Caenorhabditis elegans: one gene and its partner. The protein of the gene in region 1 binds, or shares a complex with, the protein of each later gene. Each region holds a gene or a part of one and is shown on either strand. Other genes may lie near its edges.

What was found.
Region 2: dys-1 (region 1) and stn-1 share a complex: the UniProt entries of both Caenorhabditis elegans proteins name them as parts of the dystrophin glycoprotein complex.

The regions. Positions count from the first base shown.
Region 1 is NC_003279.8:11,553,503-11,560,393, reverse strand, and holds the start of dys-1 (Dystrophin-1), read left to right. Parts: upstream 1-2,542; 5' UTR 2,543-2,601; coding exon 2,602-2,671; intron 2,672-3,606; coding exon 3,607-3,926; intron 3,927-4,091; coding exon 4,092-4,216; intron 4,217-4,791; coding exon 4,792-4,907; intron 4,908-6,891. Other genes in the region: F15D3.9 (SAM-dependent methyltransferase), read right to left, coding at 1,749-1,973, 2,339-2,359. UniProt on the Caenorhabditis elegans protein: Plays a role in cholinergic transmission and as a functional partner of dystrobrevin (dyb-1), necessary for muscle maintenance. Required for neuronal positioning. May play a role in the localization of slo-1 near dense bodies in the muscle.
Region 2 is NC_003279.8:9,498,319-9,506,322, forward strand, and holds stn-1 (Syntrophin-1), read left to right. Parts: upstream 1-2,949; 5' UTR 2,950-3,003; coding exon 3,004-3,099; intron 3,100-4,557; coding exon 4,558-4,679; intron 4,680-5,120; coding exon 5,121-6,036; intron 6,037-6,084; exon of another isoform or gene 6,085-6,147; coding exon 6,148-6,243; exon of another isoform or gene 6,244-6,409; coding exon 6,410-6,502; 3' UTR 6,503-6,513; exon of another isoform or gene 6,514-6,514; coding exon of another isoform or gene 6,515-6,658; intron 6,659-6,689; 3' UTR 6,690-6,840; downstream 6,841-8,004. Other genes in the region: F30A10.9 (PIN domain-containing protein), read right to left, coding at 6,515-6,658, 6,841-6,998, 7,050-7,198, 7,253-7,318, 7,374-7,447. UniProt on the Caenorhabditis elegans protein: Adapter protein that binds to and probably organizes the subcellular localization of a variety of membrane proteins. May link various receptors to the actin cytoskeleton and the dystrophin glycoprotein complex (DGC).

The sequences.
Region 1 (6,891 bases):
TTTCCTGGTGCTCCGTCTTGTCCTGCAGCCCCGGCTGGTCCTTCTGGTCCCTGTGGTCCTGGAGCTCCCTGTCCGCGTTGTCCATTCTTTCCATCGGATCCCGGGGCTCCGGCTTCACCTGCGGCACCGTCGTTTCCAGCTGGTCCGTCTTCTCCTGGGGCTCCAGCCTCTCCGTCTGGTCCAGCTGGCCCTGGGGCTCCTGCTGGGCACTTGATGCAGTCGTGTTGGGCATAGGCGTCAATTGGGGATGGGATTCCGTCGTGACTGTTGTCTCCGGCCTTTCCTGGAGCTCCGTCGTCTCCTGGCTGATCTGGCGATCTTACATGGAAAAATATTTGGTAAAAATCAGATCATAGGTACTCTCAGCAGTGTTGTCCAAAATCGGAACACGGTAGGAGGATCAGTGCACCACAACTCGGCTGGGACATAATTTGTATAATTATATTGGCACAACTGTAAGTTTATGTATGCTGAATTCAGAAAATCTAGGTACATATAACCCATCAAAAACTATTGAAAAGTGGCAAAAATTGACAATTTTTTGTAAAAATTCACAATTTTGAAACTCCTCTAAAATGGTAAATTTTGTAGTTAGACGACTCAAAAATACAAAATTTACTCAAAAACATTTAAAACATTGCCCTTTTTTAGAATATAGTAGTTTTAAACATTATTTGGGAGATTTTCCGAATGAGAAGCTAATTTCGGAAAAATTCGGAAATTTATAAAGCCGCTTTTCATTCGAAATTTATTTTTATTTTTAAAAAAGTTTGGGAATTCTCAAAAACCAACTGTCCACCCGTTCCATTTAACAACCCAATTCTCAAATGTCCCCTCTAAAATTTTGATAGTAGAGCTCGCGGAGCACATCAGCAAAAGTAGCAGCTCCCAGGAAATGTCCGAATCATCATCAAATGCCGTTGGGGTATGTCCAAGAGGATGGTGCATTGTAACAATTGACTGACGACGGCAGCTGACGGATTGAGGGGTCCCCTCGTGCACACACGGGAATGCTCCGGGAGCACACACACACACTTTTCCATTACTATTTCCTACGAGAGTGTGGTAGACGTGCCGTTATTATTTTTTTGTGTTTTTGAGGTTAAAAATTGCTTCCAAGTCTGTTAAAAATATATTTGATGGCCTAGTTTTTGTTTTCTAGGCAGCCGAACTTGAATTTAAAAGCTTGACATTTTTGGTATGGTGGCTTAGAATTTCGAAAATTCAAGTTGCTTTCTTTTAACTTAAAATTAAAACATTTTTTGCGAATTTGAATTAGATGGCCTAGGATTTTCTGGAATGTTTAATTGAAAGATTTGGTTAGGCCACACAATTTCAGTTGCTGGCCTAGTTTTGATGTTCTAGGCCACCAATTTTTCTTTCAACTTTTCCGATGAATTTCACACACGTTCCAAACTTTCAGTAGTCACACTCATATTTTGCCTCATCTTTTTCATGGCCTAACTTTTCGATTTCGTGGCCTAGAACTTTGTCCATGAAAAAGTTTAGGCCACATGCTTTTTTTAAAAATATATCCCTTTTTATTGAAATGATTTTAAAAAAGTTTTTGTTAGACCCAAGATGATTGAGCCAAATTAGAGAAATTTGAAGTTGGTGGCCTAGAAAATTTCTAGACTATCAACTTCACAAGGCTCTAACTTGGCTGAAAATTATCATTTTCAGTTTTTTCAAGCCATATTTTTTGTTGAATTTTTGTATTTTCCTTCAAAATTTTTATTTTGAAAAAATCAATAATTAGAGATATCAAATGCATATTCCGATTGTTTCGCACAAATCTCATAGTCATTTGCACAACGAAAAGGAATTTGCGCAAATTCCGTCAAATCATGCTCCAAATTGTGCTCTTTTTCTGCTCCAAAACTGTGATCCATCCAATCGGATAAAATGCTTCTGTCCGACCCGTCGTTCGCACAATGCGTCCAAATTGTCTTCGCAGAACTGGCTTCGGTGGCCTAGAAATTCAAATTTTCTTGTGTTGCTGGCCTAGGATTGGTTCTCTAGGCCACTAAAATCAGCTTGATTTTTTTTTAAATGTTGATGTGTCACGTTAAATTTAACATGAATAGAGCTTCACCCATTTTGGTTTTTTTTTCGTTGGTGGCCTATGTTTTTCTAGGCCACCAACTTTAAATTTTAAATCAATATATTGTCAAATTAAAGGGTTTACTCACAATTAGCTCTTCACAAAAATCTACTTGAAAAACTCGAATTGGTCGCCTAGAAAACTAAAACTAGGCCACCAATATTTCGTTTTTAAATTTTTCTTCAAATTTTCTAAATTTTTTGAAATTAGAAAAACTAAAATAGAAAAACTTACACTTTTGTCACTGTTACTCATTTTTAGCAATATTTTTTTCTTTGAATTCTTTGAATTTTTTTTTAGAAATAAAAAATTTTCCAGAAAATTTCGTTCTTTTTTCGTAACTTTTATTTTTTGGAAAACTTCTAGAATAACCCCACGTTTTTTAAAAATAATTTTATATTCTACAACTTAATTTTTTTTTCTAATAAAAATCCCAATTTCAGATGCCAATTGGTGTATAGAATAGGCGAAAACGAACGAAAAAGTGCAACAACACCATGTTATTCTCGGGCGCCTCGACTGCGAAACCGAAAAAAGACGAGAAAAAGGACAAGAAAAGTGATCGCGGTGAGTTTTTTGAAAAATTTTTAAGACAAAAAAAAAAAGAAAAATCCCCGAAAAATGGCATAGAAATTTACCTTTTTTGATTTTCCAGGCCACCAACATAGTTTTCAGCATACATTTATTTTATATTTGTTTCTGTCTTACCGAGACCTTCAATTTGACAGCCATCATGCCTAGGATCCGACTATTTTGAGTTGGTGGCCTAACTTTTCAAGCCGTGACCGAGAAAATGCATTTGGGCCTGGACTTTAGACGCTCAGATTTTTGAAATGTTCTTAGTTTTTATTCCTTGTTAGGAGTATTCAAAAATTCAAAAATTGAATTTCAAATAGGTTCTGGGAGTTTTAAGTTGTTGGTGGCCGAGGAATTTCTAGGCGACCAATTTTAAATTTTGCCAGTAAGATAAAATTTGTAGAATTTTAAAGTGAAACAGTAATATTGTGTGCTTCTTAAAATTTAATTTCATAAAATTTAGCAATTTCTAAAAAAGTAAAAATTCTAGGCCACCAACTGAAAAGTTAGGCCATGGAATAAAATTTCCAAAGTATGGCAATATTGGTGTCATGTGAAAGCTATGAACGTGCAGAAGTCAGTGAAAAGCATTGTAATAATGAAAAATTATTTTTGTGGCCTAGAAAAAGCAAACCTAGGCCAGCGAGTCAAATTGGGTGGCCTGAATTTGGATTTCTAGGCCACTAGTTAACAAATGCCATTTTTCTAGCAAACTTCTTGAAGAGAACTAACTGTTGCCACCAATACTCTGTTGAACATATTTTATGCTGATCTAGAAATTTTGCTGGCCTAGAAATCTAAAACTAGGCCACCAAACTGTAAATCTGCTCAAAATTCATATTTTTCGATTTTTCAAAAACCGATTTGTAGAGTTTTTGACGGAAAATTTGAATTTGAACGTTAAAAGCTATGAATAAAATTTTCAGACCCAAAAAATGAGCTCCAAGAGTGGGTATTCGTGCGCTGGGCCAATCACCTGCTCGGAACAGAACGTCTAACCGATTACAAAAGCCTTCAAGATGGTTCAAACGCGATTTTTGTCTACCAAGCAATTATTGGACAGACTATGGCTGTACTGGGTAATCCATCCGACGATTGGCCTAATGTTTTGCAAAATATCGGGGATTCCAAGACGAATCCGCAGGAAGTTATGGAAGGGCAGCAGAAAGCGGTGCTCTCAGCCTGGTGGCAGCTTGTTCAGTTTTTCTGGAAAAATAATGCACCCGTGCAGTTACGGGAGGAAAAGGTGAGTTTTTTGAGTGTAAAATCAAGTGGAAATCTTTAAAATTGATAAAGTTACGGGGGTTTGAAAAATTAAAAAATAAATAAAAAATTTTGAAAAAAAAAATTTCGAAAATTTTTTTTAAAATTTTTTTCCTAGAATTTTTTCTATTAAATTTTCAAATTTCAGCTCTCCGAAGCCATCAAACAATGGTGCATTGAAGTCATGAAATCATACGAAGAAATTGACGTCTACGACTTTACATCTTCCTTCCGGGACGGCCATGCCTTCAATTACCTCATACATTCTTATGAGTAAGGGTTTTTCATTAGAAATTAATTTATTGATAATCAGTTTTTCAAGAGTTTCTAGATTCCATGAAACATGGTTTTATTCGAAAAAAAATTCAAAAATTTCAAAAAAAAAACACATTTTTTTGGATTTTTTCAATTCTAAATTTTCCAAAACAACTTTTAATCTTATTTTTTTTTAATTCAATATCAAATTTAAATTCAACATTTCATTACAGTCTATTTGACACCCATAATGCCTAGGCTCCGAAATGTTCAAGCTGGTGGCCTAACTTTTCACTACATGGCCTAGAAAACTCACTGGGACTTCAAATTTGGAAAACATAGGCCCTGGAATTTAATATTTTAAAGTATAGCAATATGGGTGTCATTTGAAAGGTTTCGGCGTGTAGAACTCGAGAACCCCATCAAAAAGAATTTTAGAGAGGGTCTCGCCGCGAAAACTACAGTACCCATGTGATTTTCGTGGCGGGATTCAACTTTTTCCAAAACTAATCATGATTATACTCAAATGAAAGCTCTCAGTGCGACAAACACAGTTAATATAGTTTCGAGCCCGAAATCCTGAACATTTTCAGCCGAAAACTGATAAACCTCACAAAAACCGCCGAAATGAGTGCCATCGACAGGATTGAAAACGCTTTTGCTGTCGCTGAAAAGACATGGAATGTGCCAAGGCTTCTGAATCCAAAAGGTTACTATTTCTAACCAAAAAAAAAATCGAATTCTACGCTGAAAAACCACGAAAAAACTGTTTTGGGCAAAGTGGCTTAGTGGAGAATAGGTGCACAGCTACGGAAAAACATACCAGGGTTCGACCCCCCGCTGCGGTCAAAATTTTTGTTTCTCAATTTTGAAAGTTTTTGAAAATTTTTGAAATCATTCACTTTTTATTTTATTTGAAAATGAAGATTTTGAGCCGAGTTACAGCAGTTTTACGCCTAGGCACAAGATTGACTACCTGACTGCCTAGTAGGTTTTAAAAAACTGATAGGCAAGCGTGTAGGCAGGCAGGCAGTGATGAAGACTTTCCTTCCTACAAGAACTGTCAACACTGAATTATCTATTTTCCAGTAATTCACTTGAGTTAGAGCTTCAATGCGGTAAGTCAAAATGGGTTATAAGTAGGCGCGAAGGCAAGTAGGTAGGTATTACGGGACAATGAGATCATGAGAATGCCTACTTTTCTGGCGGCAAATATCTCGTAGCGAAGGGACCGGCGTCTCTCTTCGCCATATGCTCTCTCGCTGCCGCGGCCTGTCAATATTTTCGCGCCAGTAAATAGGCATTCATCTCATGGTCCCGTAATAGGTAGGTAGGCACAAGATAGGTACATAGGTAGGCATTCAAAAAAGTAGATAGGCACAAAGTAGACACATAGGTAGGCAGGCAACAAAGGGTAAAAAGCCTACCTACACTGATGTTTTCCGCGTAATTTGGTTTTAAGTATATAGGTAACAAGACGAGAGATCACAGATAAAAGAGACGCAGACAGATTGCGTAACCGCCCGATCAGGGAGAACCATATATCCCTTTTGTCCCCCTTTCTGTCTTTTTCTCTGCCACCCTCTCTCACTTTCCAATAATCTCTCGCCTGGGGGGTCTCTGTGTATCTCTAATTAAGATGTCCCCGTGTACCTGTAGAACACGGAGAATAGGAAGACAAACTAATCATTATATAGACTATCCGTTTTTCTACGACATACTACTACTACTACTTTTGATACTTTTTTTTCAAATTTTGAAGAATTTTGAGTATTTTGTAAAAATATTGAGTTCAAACCAGCAATGTAAAAATTAAAGATGAATAAAATTTTTGCTCACATTTCAAAATTCCCTAATTTTGGCAGTTTTTAGGATATTATGCTGGTTTTTAGCTTAAAATGAGCACAACAGCTTATATTACAATTTCTCATAAATTAGAATGTTTGAAATGTTACAGCTTTTTGGAAAATATAAAGTTATAAGTTAAAAAGGTTAAAAATTCAAAAAAAAATTCAAAATTTAAATTTTCGGAAAAGTAAAGTTTATTCAATTTTTTAGATATTACAATTTTTTTTTTTTTATCGTGTTCAGAATTTTCGAAAAACAATTTTTTACTCTAGATGTCTAGATTTAAAAAATTCTAGTTTTTAACTTCAATTTAGCACAAAAACCACTGAAAATTACGAAATAGTCTTTGTTTGTACATTCATTTACTTTTATTGTAAATTTTGTTTAAACAAACTGCAAACAATTTGAAGTTCTAGACAAATTAGAGTTTTGAAAAAAAATTTCGAAAAAAAAATTTCGTTTATAAATTTTCAATTTTTTCAAACTGCCATATTTCAGTCAATTTTTAAGATTTTTCTCTCATTTTTACCTTAAATTAATCGAAATTTCTTCTACTTTTCCTTATTTTATGCCTGTCAAAACACCAGACCTCTCCACTCAATTGTTTCCCTGATCTTTACTGTCAATAAACGATGTGTGTCCACTCATAAAGTGGTGCGAAATACAGAAATTCCTTTTTTTTTCGTTCTTCTTTCGCAGAATTTTCTTAACCATTCTATCCTTTTTTTGTATTCTTGAATACATTTTTCTGTTATCTTTTTATCACTATCATGGGAGATTTATCAGGAGACAAAATGACGAGAATACCGCGTCGAAACCGGAAATTTTGTTCACCCGATTTTTGC
Region 2 (8,004 bases), 2.1 Mb from region 1:
TGGAGCGTCTATGGATCCGCTCGAGTATACGAACCTCGTTGGTGAGGCAGTTCTCGATGCGAAACTCTCGAATATGTCGACAGATGATTGGTCGATCTTTATCTTCTTACGTGGAATGGATGCGCCGGAGGACGCCCTAGCAAAGCGTTATTTGATGCAATATTGCGAACAGTTTGAGCGGAAAGATGAAAAACTCAAGTTATCCGACGTCCATGACGAATGGATCCGTTACATCCAAACGCAGCAGCAATCCAAAGTCATCACAGCAACTCCCGCCAGACATCCGAAATTCGAAGTAAACCAAGTTGATGCAGATGACAAGAAGAAGGATTCGAGAAAAGGAAACTACAGATCTCCGTATTGTTACAAGTGTAAAGTAGTCGGGCACGTTTCAAAAGACTGTCCTCAGAGTTCCACCAATTCAGGTGTGACCAATCGTAAGACTGAGCATTCTGAAGTGAATACGCTCGAGGTTGGGTCTGGAAGACAGACATCGCCTAGTCTTCGGTTGAACGTGGAAGGACAACAGATCGATTTCACTTTTGATACAGGCAGTGACATCACCCTTATCAGTGTCCAGAACTGGCAAAAGATCGGGAAACCGCATCTCGAAAAGGTCCACCACAAAATTTGCTGTGCCAATGGTACTGAAATCGCTGTCAAAGGTAGAGTGCTCGTATGGTTCAAAGTCAAAGGTGTCGAATACACTGAGTATGTGTACGTCTGGAACAGAAACAATAATCTGTTAGGCACCAGTTGGATGCGCCACTCGCCTCAAATGCGTGATGCTCTGGCCGTAATGGTTAATCATATATCCACTGTGGATAACTCGAAGCAAAATATGCACTCGTTCTCAAGGATTCCTACTGGATACAAAGATCGTGCTGAAAATGTTGAAAGACATGTTGTTGCATCTGCGCCGCGTAGTAGTAAGCGCCAGTATGTAAGATTTGCGCGCAATAAAGCGTTTCAGATTGGGCAATTGTGCCTTGCTCGGGTTCAAGGAGAGCACAATTTTGGCTGGATTTATGGAGTGGTTCAAAGACAATTGAACGGAGTACTCTATGAAGTACAGTTGGGATCGAGAATTCAAAGAATTCACACGAACCAACTCCGTCACATTTGCGGTCGCCGGAGCCGTGGGAATGACTATGCTTCATCATTCATCGAAAATCCGTGTAAATTGTCGCTCTTGGAAAACATTCCGCGCTCTAGTTGCCGCCAAAAATTTGTCGCTCAAGGTGTCCGTGGGGAGGGGAGGGAAGCTAATCCAGTTTTAGTTTCAGATTCTTCTGTTTTTGGTTTTAGTGCTCCAGATTTGTCAGCTTGTGATTCTGTTGGTTCTCGATCTGCTCGTGAAGTCGTCTCGTCGGTTGCCGGCAATGCTCGAAATGCTACTTGTGCAAATATAACTACGATTCATGTTACGGAGAGCAAGAGTTCGTTGAAGAAAAGCCACAGAAGACGTCGCCGTGTGGCAAAGAGTCGCCAATCATATACTTCTGGAAGTTCGCCAATCAAAGAAACCCATCTGGACCCCCTGCTGGAATCCGATGTTGCGAGTGACGGCGAGCGTTTCCAACCCGGCATCCTCCTGTGTCATTCTCTTCGACAGAGTCACCCACGACAAGTTGTGCGAGGATCAGCCCCAAACACTGATCATGCCTCCACTCGCCGCAGAGGTCGATATACCGCCTCTGGTCGTGATGCCCCTAGCCCAGGCATAATTTCTGGCTTTTTGTCATATAAGAGGGGAGATGTTGTGGACGGAACGTAAACCTGAACTTTATACAGACGTGACCTTTGGGTCATCATGAACTTATCGCGTAAGCGACCTCTCTTTATAATTCATTACTTCTTACACTTTCTTGTAATAAACTACTTCTCTCCTTGTCTCTCGCTCAATACACAACAAAGCTCAACGTCAAAAAATTGAGAAACAATAACTGGTGGAGGGGAGGGAGGGAAAAAGAAATCAGATACGGTCAATGATCTAAATGTTTGAAGAAAGATCAAGGAACAAGATTCTAAAATTATTCAATTTTTTCTCAAGTTTTTCAGAATTGTTTGACACAGAATAGAATAGCTTTTGGAAGAAAAAACATTGATGGATTTTCAGATGGATTTTCTATAGATTTTTAAAGATTGCATTTCTGCTGGGGTACTGTAGTTAGAGAGCTAAAGTATCTAGAGCAGCAATTGAAAATTAAATTTCATCACGAAAAACAGAACACCTAATAGTAATTTCAATTTATTTCGAAAATAGGAATTAAATTGGATAATATTTAACTTTCACTGTATAAAAAAAGTTGTAAAAGGGAATACTTCTGATTAATGTAGTAATTGCAATTGGTTGTAATATATCGTACGACACAGAAAACTACAACTACAACCAAATGAGAAAGAAAATAAAGAAAAGAATAAAGGATCAACTTGCTTCTTCTCTCTTCAACAATACAATTGCATGTGTTCGTCACGTAGTGTGTAAGTGTTCGTCTCGTGGCGGGAAGCCAACGGGATTCTTCGCCCAACACACAATCATAACCGATATAAATTCGAGGCACCAAGCTGAGAGTCAGATGGAAAAAGAAAGAGTGAGATGTAGAGAAAGAAGCGAGACTCGGAGTGCGCGGTAGAGTTCATCAGAGAGCATGTTAGGCAGAAGAGGGAGCAGGAGTGCCGTCGCACTAGCTCTCCGGCTTCATCCGACGGAGAAGAGAGCAGTTGAGAGAAGAAGAAAAACGAGGGGAAATAGAAGAGAGAGGACTCCTCTGCTGCTCCCACAGCCCAAATATTCTATTATTGCCCCTTTTCTTTCTGTTTCTTTGCTTCTTAGCATCTTTCTCTTCTGGTTTTTTTTCTCGCTTTCCTTCATTCCGCTACAAATCCTCCCGAATTTGAATTCAAATTTTTGGCATAAATTGGTATATGCAATATTCAACTTTACAGAGTACAATCGGCTCAATTTCGTAGTATTGCTCCGATTAGATCGGCGTCGTTTCGATGGCCGCCGTTCGATCCGGCCTGGTCGACATTTTTGTTCAGGGACAATGGCATCGTGTATTGGCTACTCTCGATCCAACTGCTATCACATTACAAGTAATTTTTTAATGATAAAATATTCCGAAAACTAGAAAACCACTGGAAATTATTGTAAAACAACTCATTTTTCGCGAAATTCTAAAAATAAATTGGATGGTTTCTAAAAACGAACAAAAATCTATATTTGAAACAATTATTGTTAAATAATTTAAATTTCGGTATAATAAAATATCATTCATTTTTCTAATGTGGAATGATACAAGTTGCTGAAAAATAGTGGTCGTTCTTATTAATACCAAAATGCGAAATTTTGCTATTCAAGACAAAAGAATACGGTACCGTGTCTCAACACGATCGAGCACGGGTTTCTGGCTCGACCCCTCGGTGTATTTTGTGCAAACACCGTCACGCGCAAATGCATACACTTTTTCAACGCGCTGCGTGAAAATTCCTCTTGCGATTTCAAAAAAATTTTCCCGCCATTTCAGCGTCCGATGGAGCGCGGGGTCGAGCCAGAACCTCGTATCGAGCAGTTATAAATAAATTTGTCGGAAAAGAATGTGCGCCTTTATGAAGTACAGTAGGCTCTAATCCTCACTATTTCGCAGACTGTTTCGTTTTAGAAAAAGCAGCTGCTGGAGATTGGGTCTGGAGATTACTGTAGGTTTTAAAGGCGCACACACATTTTTCACACCTTTAATCCTTTAATCTTTTTGTAAGTTTTCAGTCGTGTCGAGACCAGGCACCGTATTCTGGCGTCATAAAACATTTATTTTTTTACGAAATTACGTCGAACATAAGTTTTCTGATGCCCACGAACGAAATATATCATCTGAAGAGATCCATCTATGGAAACCAGAAACGGGAATGGGATCATATTACAAATAGTCTATGCTTCTTCTTCTTCTTTTCCTTTCGCCACATTTTGGCTCATTTTTCAAAAAAGGAGGCGAGTTGGCTATGAAAACTTATTAGTCGTTCTTGCTAGAAGAAAAAAGAAAGAATGGAATGAGGCTACTTAGAGATGAAGTTTGTATATGATACGACTTAAAAGGAGAAAACGGATGGAGAAAGGTATACTGTGACTACAATAATTATCTTCTTGGAGTCTATATGAACTCTTCGTTCCGACATATATTCTCAAGTATTAAAATGTGTATAACTCTTTTGCTTTCTTATCTTTCTCATCTCTGGTATGACAGTCCAACTGAAATTTTGGGAAAAGACAAAGAAAATATACCATTGCTTGTCAAAAAAGAAGTCGTCATGTCATCTACTCCCCCTTCTCCAAGTATTCCGTCAATCGAAGCTCCGGCTTTTGACAAATTGGTATGCCAGCTTGCATGATTTCATTTTACTCAGTCTCCTCCAAAAATTACATTAGCATGTGTGAATTTGTTTGAAATTGTTTAAAATTTGGTCGGGAAACGTGGAAGGGGATATTTATGAGCAAGGGAAGTGAAATCCAAAGAGAAATGGGTTCAAGCTGTGATGAATAAATATACTATTTTTCAGACAATGGAGCAGAATGAGGCTGAAGCAGAGAAACGGACAGTTCGAGTTGTGAAATATGATGGAAATGGATTAGGAATTTCAATTAAGGGAGGCAGAGACAACAACATGCCTATTGTGATCAGGTATGAATGAACTTGCGGAGATTTATACATCTCGTGTGCCATTTCGTGATTTTACGTCAATTTTGAAATTTTGATCTATGATAAATAATTTTTAGTTTTAATGACAAGGGCAATTCTCTAGAGAAAATTTTTATAATAACTGAAAAATGGAAGAATGGACTAGCAAACCTCGTACACAATCGTGTGTCGATTTACTCAGCGTGTGTACTCCCCGTGGAGAAGCATTTAATTTTTTCAGAAGATTTTACAGTTTTCGGTCAAAAACAGAAAGTATTTCCCGAATTATCCAAAATTAGGAATTTAAGGCGATAACTGTGAAATTGTTTGCAAAAATGTACACTTCTCCTCGGGCAGTACACACGATACGTAAATCGACACTTTTTTTTCTGAAATAGAATGTTTAATTTAGCAATTAAAGAACAAAATTAATTTCGATTGTAGCAAAATCTTCAAAGGAATGGCAGCGGATCAGGCTGGAGAACTATTTCTTGATGACGTCATTATCTCTGTGAATGGAGAAAACCTTCTCGATGCTTCACACGAAGAAGCTGTAAGAGCATTGAAACGAGCTGGACGGGTTGTTGACTTGCAAGTACAGTATAGAAGAGAGGATATGATGCATCGGGAAAATATTGTGGAAAATGTTGAATGGGATGATGATATTCGGGAACGAGTTAGAACAATTGGTTTAAAGCTTGCATATGTGGCAAGAGCTGGAATAGATGCAGATGCAGAAGGTAGAATTCTAGAAATGAGAAGTCCATCAGGAAGGTATTCCCTAGCAATGAGATGTTCAAGTAGTGAAGAAGCAGATGGATGGTTTGAAGCTTTACATGCCTGTACCACGTGTCTTCTGACTCAGGCACTGGCTCAAGTCAATATAATGCTCGGTAACAACCCCCAAGTGAGACATATGGGTTGGATTGCAGAACAAGTATCAGAAAATGGAATTTCAATGTGGAAACCTAAATTTATGACGCTTACGAATAGTGAGATCTTGTTCTATGAAGCTGTTCCACAGCTGAAAGCAGAATGGGCAGAGCCAAGACTAGTACGTCCTCTGGTGGCAACAAGAGTCGTTCAGACAAGTTCTCGAACTGCGCCAGTAATTAAAGGTCTCACTGATGTGATCTCTTTCCGTATGAGAACTGGAACTCAACAAGGTGTTCGGACACATACGATCCGGGTAGAAACTCATGCAGAACTGGCACGATGGGTTCGTGCAGTAGTGATCGGTGGATATGAAGCATGTCTTTCTACATCTCAAGTCTCTGCTCCTTGTCTTTGGCGAGGCGAATCATGCGAACTAATAGTTAATCTAGACAATGGAATATCATTACTTTCGTCGACTGGAGAGGTGAGCTCATTGGAATAATTTAGCAATAAGAAAGTGATAAACGTTTTCTAGATTAAAACAAAGATTTATAACATTTAGAGAAGCTACATTTTCTTAAAGCTTACAATTCAGGTACTGTGGCAACATTCGTTTGAAACGATTCGCGCCACCGGCGATGATGGTGGTCGTTTTCTCTGGGTCGATTTTGGACCACCACATGGTGAACAGGTAAAAATGGATTTTATTTTAACCTTAATTTCATACTTATAGAAAAAAAACGGATTTTTTTTGTGTAAAGTTTTTGAATAAAAAAAAGGATAGGCAACAAAACAATAAAAGCAGATCAACAAGTAATATTCAAAACAAAAGAAGCATAAATGAATGAAAAATTTAGGAATTGGATTTGCTAAATTCCGCAAAGCCAGTCGTGTTCATTCTTCATTCATTTCTCGCCACCAAGGTGTATCGATTAGGATTGTACGCGTGAAGCATCAAAAGGTTAGTTCATTGGAGCTCCATATGCATCAGGCATTCGCTCAATGGAGAATCTGTGATTGACAATGTACATGATCGGAACTCCTGGGATCTTTCGGATGCGGCGCTTCAGATCACGATCACAAGTGGCCACAATATAGCATTTATGCTGAAAATTATATTATTTTTTTCATTTTCAGATTCGTTATTTGTTCAAGTTTGCCAAACAAAAAGACTGCAGCAATACCACATTCCGTCTCCTGCCTCTTCTCGTCATAATAGATTTTATTCGTTTAAGATTTGTTAGATTTTATTAAATGAAAAACAATGAAAAATTATGAATAAACGAACCTGTGTAACTCTTTGAACCAAACAATCATCAGCATATGTTCCTTTGTGCTCACACTTCAGTCTCTGCACACGTGGATCTTTCAGAACTTTCAGAGCAATTTTGAATCTTCTCACTTTTTCCAATTCAGCCAATACACAGTCAGTTGCGTACACAATAGCTGAATTATTGTGATAAAATACAAGAAAACGAAAGAAAGTGTATGACTCACTTTTCGCGAACAGACAATCCATGAATCCTTGAAACATGTCAATGCGATTTTTGACGGCGAAATTCACAAAATTGGTATCGACAATAACGTGAAATGGTGGACCCAGCTGTGTATTGTATTTCATAAACATAGCGGATGAGATTTTTGGACTGAAATTATGAATTATTATTGTCTGGACACATATTCGTACGAATAAAACTTACGCACGGACCAATTTGAGTTCTTGTTCATCTACTTTCGGTGTTCTAATGACTCTTTGTTCTTCTTTTCTGAAATATTGCGTTTTAAATCAAGGTTATTCGATAAAATTATCGTTATCCTTACATTCTGTTGTCTGTCTTTTTGACAAGCTTGTTTACAGCGCTTTTTCTGGCGTTGGACTTCAAGCGTTTACCCATTTTCTGTAAATTAGAACATATATTTGTAAATTAGCACATATATTATCGAAGAAATTTGGAAAAAACGAAGAAAATCTTTAAAATAAGAATCTCGAACAAAATATCGAGACCCGAAGAACTCGGGGGATGTCCAATTGGGGGGATTACCAACTCGGGGGATTGGCCCCGCCCACAGAACCGTGGCTTGCAATACGCCCATTTCTGCAACTGCCGCACGGTTTTGAAACTGTATTTTTCTTGTTAATTCTCGCTCTATTGAGAAAAATACAGTTTCGAAACCGTGCGGCAGTTGCAGAAATGGGCGTATTGCAAGCCACGGTTCTGTGGGCGGGGCCAATCCCCCGAGTTGGTAATCCCCCCAATTGGACATCCCCAGAGTTCTTCGGGTCTCAAAATATCAGAAAAAATTTTTGCGAAAAAGTCCGCAGAGTTGGTGCTCCGTGTATGCACCAGTCAATGCATTTAATCTGACGCACAAACCAGCATTTCAAGAAATTGCATTCAATGTGCATCGCATATTCAAATTTCTGTCAGCTATTTATGTTTTTATTTTATTG